2 linked regions of the Oryzias latipes genome follow. The protein of the gene in region 1 purifies or fractionates together with the protein of each later gene. This does not show direct contact. Links are inferred from orthologs where the notes say so. Each region holds a gene or a part of one and is shown in the gene's direction. Other genes may lie near its edges.

Evidence for each region.
Region 2: the proteins of kif1bp (region 1) and kif14 purify together in Homo sapiens (affinity purification with mass spectrometry; 3 studies listed by BioGRID and IntAct, counting the BioPlex papers as one, with this or other methods). This does not show direct contact. The link is inferred for Oryzias latipes from reciprocal best matches to the Homo sapiens genes KIFBP and KIF14.

Annotation. Positions count from the first base shown.
Region 1 is NC_019861.2:24,154,620-24,158,690, forward strand, and holds the start of kif1bp (KIF1-binding protein), read left to right. Parts: upstream 1-1,268; 5' UTR 1,269-1,294; coding exon 1,295-1,759; intron 1,760-1,967; coding exon 1,968-2,066; intron 2,067-3,569; coding exon 3,570-3,649; intron 3,650-3,731; coding exon 3,732-3,790; intron 3,791-4,071. Other genes in the region: mpc1 (mitochondrial pyruvate carrier 1), read left to right, coding at 111-138. UniProt on the Homo sapiens protein: Activator of KIF1B plus-end-directed microtubule motor activity. Required for organization of axonal microtubules, and axonal outgrowth and maintenance during peripheral and central nervous system development.
Region 2 is NC_019862.2:11,250,180-11,254,494, forward strand, and holds the start of kif14 (kinesin-like protein KIF14), read left to right. Parts: upstream 1-1,462; 5' UTR 1,463-1,781; coding exon 1,782-2,785; intron 2,786-2,890; coding exon 2,891-3,145; intron 3,146-3,240; coding exon 3,241-3,328; intron 3,329-3,498; coding exon 3,499-3,597; intron 3,598-3,960; coding exon 3,961-4,013; intron 4,014-4,120; coding exon 4,121-4,151; intron 4,152-4,229; coding exon 4,230-4,315. Other genes in the region: probable ATP-dependent RNA helicase DDX59, read left to right, coding at 860-1,120. UniProt on the Homo sapiens protein: Microtubule motor protein that binds to microtubules with high affinity through each tubulin heterodimer and has an ATPase activity. Plays a role in many processes like cell division, cytokinesis and also in cell proliferation and apoptosis.

The DNA of each region.
Region 1 (4,071 bases):
GTTTACAAATGTGTTTGTTTGAAGAATGCTTCTTTATTTTGCCATTTTCAGTAGTAGCTAAATTGATTGGATTCGACTTAACTGAAATCCCCGTTTTTCTGTTGATTCAGCATGGAGAAGAAGACTGGATCTTCATAGCAGAAAAGGGTGGATGATGGATAATGACTTCTAAGTGCTGCTTCAGGAGCCTTCTAAACATCCATACTCATTCATCAAACATTAATTCAATCAGTGAAACAACTGTTGCACTTTTGCAGATTTTCAATCCATTCTTTTCAAGATTAGTTAATGACTTTTTTTCCTCCAAAAACAGGTCAGCAGTTGTGATTTATATTTTAAATTATTTGCATAAAACAACACAAAATGTATGTGAGGAATGTACACTGAATTGTAAAATTGTTAGCTTGACATCAAACACACCTGACGAAAAATGTAATGTTACTTGTATTTCTATAGGTCATTGCCTCCAAATTCTTTAGAGCATGAAATATGTCCAGTATACCAGGCCATTCTAGCTGCATAAATTGCAAAATATTCTTCAAAAATATGATTATTTTAGAAAATTATCTTAGCTTAAAACCAAATAAATTCTGATGCTCTTTAGTTATAATTATAGCATATTTATTTGACTTGAAAATCATGCCTGTCTATATGACTGTCATTTAAAAATAGATGAAACAGGCTGTGTTTGTCAGTGTGGATTAAACACAAAAAACATCTCCTAGTTGTGTCATTCACATGAACTCACGTCATTTTCCCTCCCTGATGTTCCAGTTGTAAATTTCTAATAAACTTGATAGAATAATATAATTTGTGAGATCATCTCTTTTTTTTCCAATTATGTTTGTGTGATCTTTGGCATATGCACTAATTTTATTTGTGTTGAGATGAGCTGAGTTGCATTTTATGGAAGCACAGTAATGTGTTTTTTTTCAACTGTTACATCACTTGACACCTGCAGTTAAACTTATTTTCTTTTCTTTTTAAGCATTTATTTAATCTTGCAGCTTTGTCTCAAAAAATCATTTTCTTATACCTTTTGTTCTCTGAAACTGTGGAACGTACATACATTGTTTAAAACTAACGTATGTTTATTTTAGTAAGTTAATAAGCTAATGCTTTGGCTCTTGTGGATAAAAGCAGGACAATTTTTCTAGATTCAAGAATCCAGTTTCCTTTTTAACTTAAAATAAGTTTTTTCTAAGTAGTACCGGGGTTGTCCAGCAGATGGCAGTAACGCCCCTGCAGCACAGATGAAAACGAACGGCGTCTACCGCCGCAGAAGAAAACAATTATGGCGTCGTTCAGCAGTAACGAGTGGAAAGCTGTCTGCGCCAAATTCACCAACGCCCTACAGCTCAGCGACGTAGAATCACGAAACGACCCCGAAAACGACCCTTTCCGATCCAAATACAAGGCAAGGGAACTTCTGACAGAGATATACTGCTCGCTGAAGAACTTTGAAGCAGGAGATGGCGAGGAGCACGACGACGGAGAGAGCAGCGAGCCGGAGCCGACGGAGGAGCCTCTGGACGGAGAGAAGCCGGTGGATCTGGATGCGTTCAGCCGGGGATGGAGCAGCGACTCGCGCGCGGGGCTTCGAGCAGCCAGGCTCGCAGCTGTGGAGTATTATTTGGGCGTCAACCACGTGGACACAGAAGAGTTGTCCGCCGGGCAGGAGCATCTGATGAACTGCATGAAGCATCTGGGCAAATGCAGAGTGTCATCGGAGAACGTGTCGCTGTTCATCCACGTCAGGGTAACACTGGCAATGTTTTGTGGCCTTATTCGCGTCGTAACCACAATCTGCTACAGCTATGACTTGCGTTTGTGTGTTTAGGGGAAAATGGCCGTACTAGTGCAGCTACAGGGTGTTCGACCACACATAGACCTTTGTGGCAGATCAGCTGATGGAGATCCCCTCCCTCCCTGATGCTGATCATGTGTTTTATTCCTCGTGTTGACAGAATCAGCTGGGGATCCTCTGGGCAGGCAGAGATGAGACGGAGAAGTCCCAGGGCTTCCTTGAAACTGCAGAGTCCATCTACCAACTTTACATGAAGGAGGTACACCTGCCCTAATGCAGTTTAATATCATGTGAAACTTTTTAGTTTATTTTTTGTGGAGATTCTCATCCATCTAGGATGGCTCAATGGCAACATTATAAACATTACAAAAAGAACAAGCAGAAAATGTATTGGAACAAAAAGAAAAACATTCCAAGGGGATTGCACCACCAGTAAGATGTTCTATTTTACAACATAAACAATAATAGTAATAATTTATATATCTGTGATCATTGGACGACCTGCTCAAACGCCTTAGCCACTGCTGCCCATTCATTAGCTTTGAGAGCTTCTGGAAATAGTCGAGACTATGCAGGAATTTGGATTTTGGAGACTGGTAATATTTACTACATAAAATATATTACTATCTACTTACAGAACATATTCCCAATTTATGGTTATATCCTCATAGACTTTAATTTGAACAAAGTCTTTCCAAAAAACAGTTTCAGAGTGAGAGTTACAGAATGTACACTTGGACTCTGTTTTGTCTTTAACTAATATGGCTAGGTATTGATTAGTGGGGTATTTTTTTTTTTTTGCTTTATATGAACAATCAGGTAGCTTTTATCAACACTGATAATGGGTTGACAAGTAAATTTAAGCAAATGAAAAAGAGGGGAAAAAATGATTAAAAAAGGTTTAAATAAAGTTATTCTTCTTCATTCACATGCACTCACATTATTTTGTGGGTGCATGTGAATTTTAGATTATTAGTAATCCATTTTTAATTCAGAAAACTTAGAATAAAATTTCCATTTGACCACACAGGATAGGGATGAATTGGATGTTTATGCAGGAGCTTGTTCGGTATGTCTTTCTCTAAAAAATCTAGATCTACGACACAGAGAGTTTTTAAGACAGGGAAATAGAAAATTTCAAGATTACTGTTTTCAATACATTGTTTTGCCGCAAATGGAATACCCTAGTTTACATTGTTTAAATCTTTTTTTGGAAGCTTTCTTAAGTGTTTCACTTTCAATGTTGAAGTTGTGTTCCAGTACATAAGGAAGTTTGAGATGGCCGATGCAGCTTGTTCATTTTAAAAGGAACCCAACAGCAGCGCAGGTGAACAACTCTTACAAGCACCCGGCTCTAATGTGAAATGGTTTGGCCCTGATATACCACCATGTCTGTTTTCCAGACCGAGCCCTGCTTTCTGCTGATTAGCTCTATTAGGTCCCTTCCACCTTCTCATTGACTGAAGACACCTGATGCAGGAAACAACAGGGTGGTAGATGTTGAGGACCAGGAATGAGCAGCCCTGGTTTAGCCACACCTTAGCATCTATTTAGTTTTTTCCTCAAATGAGATCATTTCTACCCCTTCTTAAGAAATCCAACTTGTAATCAGAGTTATCCGAGTGCAGTTTCATACTAGATATCTGTGGGATTATTCAAATAAAAAGGCTTTCACATTTGTTTACGTTGCTAAAGTTGTCACATGGGGCTGCCATCTGCAGAAACAAAGTGGGAAAATCCTCCTTATTGATTCTATTTTCAGAATGGGAGTCCCCCTACAGACATGACAGAGTACTTCTGCTCTGAGGAGAACCAGCTGACTCATCAGGAAAGAACCAAGAAGTAGAAACTCCAGAATTTATTTTATTTGGTATTTAAATGTTTTGCCTACTATAGTTTGTAATTGTGTCTCCCTCCTCACTAGGTTTGAGCTGGCCTACACTCATACTTTGTACTACCTTGCACAAGTGTATCAATATTTTGGTGAGTAAATGATCAAAATCAAATCCTGATGAACTATAATGTACTGAACGCAATTCACGACGATGCAAAAATCCGTTCACGCCGACACATTTTTGGATGATACCATGTTGCGTTTACTTGCAGGTTAAAAATGTTCTGTTGATTTTTCATTTTTGTCTAAAAGCAAAACGGCATTCACCATGAGTCGTGCAGCTCTGGCTTCACACCCAAGGAATTTAGATTGTTGTGGATACATTTCAACTTTTTGGTCTTTTTGCAACTGCAGTACGTGCCTTAAATGA
Region 2 (4,315 bases), on another chromosome or scaffold:
AATATTTACAATACTCAATAACCCAAGACAAATGACTTATACCATGGTCAGGGTGAATACTCGATTCTGATTGGCTGCAGGGTGTCCCCTAGAAAGTGATAATGGAGACCTAAAGAAGAAGTTCCAGTCAAATGGCTTGAATCTGCTATATTTTTACGTGGTTTATGCCCATCTTTTTGTCTTGCTTGCCTTATTGCTTTGATGTATACAGACTGAATATGCGTTTATAAATAATTTTATTATTAATTAATGAAAGAAAATGTTTGTTTGTTGATACACGTTTAATGATCAGAGTTAATGGTGGATATTTCCTGCCATAAAAGTGATCTAGGAACCAACTTGTGAACTTTGTTTGTTCAAAACTAAATTTTGCTTCATCATCTGGGCAAAAACAAGTAATAAGAGGTGAACTTTCCTTCTGAAGTTATGCTTTGTCACACTTAACGTTGGCGTTTATCATAAAAACCATTTACCTTCGCTGGTTAGTCCTCATACGTACCATGACAACGCGTCAGACCACAAATCGAATAGTCAGCTTCTTGGAAAAAACGTACTAATAATGATAAAAATCAGCTAATAATTTATTTAAAATTCTTTCTTTCGGAAGTGACCATGGTATAAGCAGAATAATTTCCAATAAGGTGTCCATTATCAAAAACATAGGCCTTCATGGAAGCAACTGGTTTACACCTCCACGTCAGATAATGGACACCTGATTGATCACATATCCTCATCCTTTACACATATAATGGTACTTGGGTTTGGAATTTGGTTACTTAGTTAATTTCTATTGTACTTTTTTCTATGTATGTGTTATCTTTTAGCTGATTTTGCCACATCTCTATTTTCTTTCATCCAGGTTGGTCGAGCAGGGAGGCTTGGACACAGGGGAACAGCTATCACCTTTCTCAACAACAACAACAAAAGGCTGTTCTTGGGAGTGGTGAACCGAGTCAAACCCACTGGATCCATTTTGCCTCCTCAGCTTTTAAACTCACCTTACCTCCATGAGCAGCAAAGGAGGGAAAGACAAAAATCCACACTGGGACCTGAGGATACCCTGGTCACCAAGAACAACCTCCTTGACATCATAAAGAAACACCATCGTAGCAAGAAATAGTTGATTCAAGTCAATCCTGCATTTAGGTTGTTTATTTATTATTTACATTTCAGTTGTTTTTTGTTGTTTTTGAAATAATAAAATGATTCAATGTCAAAAATCATTTGGGGTAAAAAAAAAAAAAGAAATAGGACACTGTTTTTCAACAAGTCTTAGGTCATGTTTTGTTATACATTTAAATGTTTTATTATGTTAACTATACAGTTCCATAGTTAAATCCATCTCTCTCTCTCTCTTTCTATATATAAACATAAAAAACAACGATTTGTCAGTGTTGAATCCTGAAAAAAGATGTTATTTGTGCTGCCATCTAGCGTTCGTTTTTATGCTGCAATTGTTAAACGTAACCAATGGGCGTGATGACGTTCCAGAATTCAACCAATCAACGACGAAGGATGTAACCCATTTGAAATTGAAGCGGGCAAAGGCGGAAGCAAGCGAGGTTGGAACAATAGTAAACAAAAGCGGTCGTTTTAGCTAACGTTGTATTCGGGATATATTATACCCACTTTTTAAAAAAAACTTAAGTCCAGATACGTTTTGGAGTAACTTTTTTAGGGAGATTTAGATGGAAACTTTCGTGTATACAGGAAAACAGAATGACCGTTAGCAAGCTAAATAAGGTGAGCGTTTGATTATTTTTATTTTGTTCCTGAGCACAATGTCGTTGTTTAGCGTACAGACGAGGAAGCACACGGCTTATTATGACCACCTGCTGTCGGCGTCAACACCCAGGACTAGTTTGGGAAGAGAGAGGCAGGGTCAGGGTGAGCAACAGGCAACAGACCTGTCTCTAAGCGAGAACTCCAGCTCAGAATCGGTGTGCGCAGACAGGAGGAAGTCGTCTGAAAAGAACCGTCAGGCGACCAGATACTATGTAACCCATGCGCTGTCAAAAAGTGGTAGCAGCCAGCTGACCCCCAACCGAGGGAGACTGACTTTGCAGAGGAGGTCAAGGAGAAAAAGCAGGGCTGAGACGGCAGAGAAAACCATGCTAGAAAGCAGCAAGAACAGCAGCACTCCAGCTCCGGAGAAGAGGCTAACTCTGCAACGCAGGACCAGAACGCCCTCGATGGATAAAACCAGGGTCAGCGTCCGGCAGCCAACACCTAAAGCTCTCAGCGACTCAAACGGGAGGACTCCTGTTCTATTCAGGTCTACCAGCTTGAAAGAAACTGATTCTAAGAGCAACAAGTTGGCAGAAACGTCCAGTCTGAGCTCTGTGCGGAGTAAGACCTCTTTTACCTCTACTGCATCTGAAGACCAGTCTCAGATCTTTAAAACTCCCAACAGAAAGACTCCATTTTCAAAAATTGCTGCCAAAAGAGACGTGTTTGAAAGGCTAGCGTGTAAAGAAGTTCCAAAGGTTGTGGCTGTCAAATCTGCAAGCTTGGAAATGCCCAAACCGAGAGCACAACAACAAGCAGAGTTCACCAAGCCAGATCCTCGGGTCTGCAAGATCTCAGGAGGTCATCTGAAAAGCTGCTCTGTGGCTCAGGAGAAAAAGACCTCCATCTCAGAAAGAAAAGGGGATGTGAGGAGAACATCCACCGCTGCCACCGAGCAGTTAACGCATCCCAGTGAGGCTGTCAGACAGCAGGAATCCTTCAAGATGGAAAACAGTGCTGTCACTGTGGCCGTGCGGATCCGCCCCTTCAGTCCCAGGTTTGTGATGCAATCTTTACCCTCAAAACCATACATTCAAGGGTTGCATGCTATACGTTAAACATTTAAGTTGCAATGTCTAACCGTTTCTGCTCTGGTTTGTAGGGAGAAGGCCGAGAAGGCATTGCAGGTCATCTTCACAAGTGGCCAGGATACTCTTGTCCAGCATCCTCACTCCAAACAGAGCTTTTCTTTCACATACGACTTCTCTTTCTGCTCAGTGGACGACAGCAATCCTGCGTTTGCCAGCCAACAGACGGTGTATGAAACTCTGGCTAAACCTCTGCTCCTCAGGGCCTTTGAAGGATTTAACACCTGCCTTTTTGCCTACGGTCAGACTGGTTCTGGCAAATCATATACGTACGTTTTGCCCCACTCGCACTGTAAAATCGCCCTGTTTTTTCTTCCAGCCCGCAATGCCAAACTTTGTGTTTTTTTTTGTTTTTTTTTTACAGCATGATGGGCTTTGAGGGGGAGGCCGGAGTTACACCTCGATTTTGTCAAGACCTTTTTTCTAAATTGGCGTCCTTGGAAAATGTAGAGGTAATTATGTCATATTATGCAAAGTCATTGGAAACATCTCTGTCTTGAGTTTTGTTTAGGTTTGCATCGTTTTCCTAGAAAACACTTGAACCAGAAAGACTTTGACTTCTCCTGATTGGTTCACTTCCTACATGCAGAGTTTTCACTTTTTTTGTTTGTTATTCTTGAAGGTGAAATATCATGTAGAGATGAGTTACTTTGAAGTATATAATGAAAAAATCCATGACCTGTTGGTGACCAGGGATGAACCGACTCAGAGGAGGATGCCTGTGAGTAGTGCGACTGAAATACTAAAAATGCAACTCTGCTTTTCTTCCATCTACACATTATTTCAAAGAATGATTGCATGTTTTCTGTTAACATATAATTTAGCATTTAGTAGAACTGACAAAAAACTGTTGACGTTTCTTATGCCCTTTCTTTTCTGATAAATGAATTTAGCCTGTTATTTATTTATTTGTTTTTCCATTTAACGTTTATTTACCCAGAAAATGTCCTATTGAGGTTAAGAAACCCTTTTTTTAAGGGAGTCCTGGCTAGGAGGAAACAATAAATCACATTTACAATAAAAATCTAAACTTAGACAAGAAAAAAAAAACTAAAAATGAATCTTTCTTTATTGGACTTCATAGCTCCGGGTGAGGGAGCATCCAGTTCACGGCCCTTATGTTGCTGATCTCTCCGCGTAAGAAAATCATTTTTCTGTTCCTGCAAAATCACTTTTTACAGTCAAAAGAGACTAATAGAAGCACTACGTTTGTGGAATTGCTCATTTGAATATTTCCTCCTCAGGAATGTGGTGAGCTCTTTTGGTGACATCAAGGTAGGCTGTGACTAGTTTTTGCTATTAAGTTCAAGTTGTCATTGAGACTAATTTACAATCTGCTGGAATCTTTTTTAGGGCTGGTTGGAGTTGGGTAACAAGCAAAGAGCTACAGCAGCTACAGGCATGAATGACAAGAGCTCTAGATCTCACTCTGTCTTCAC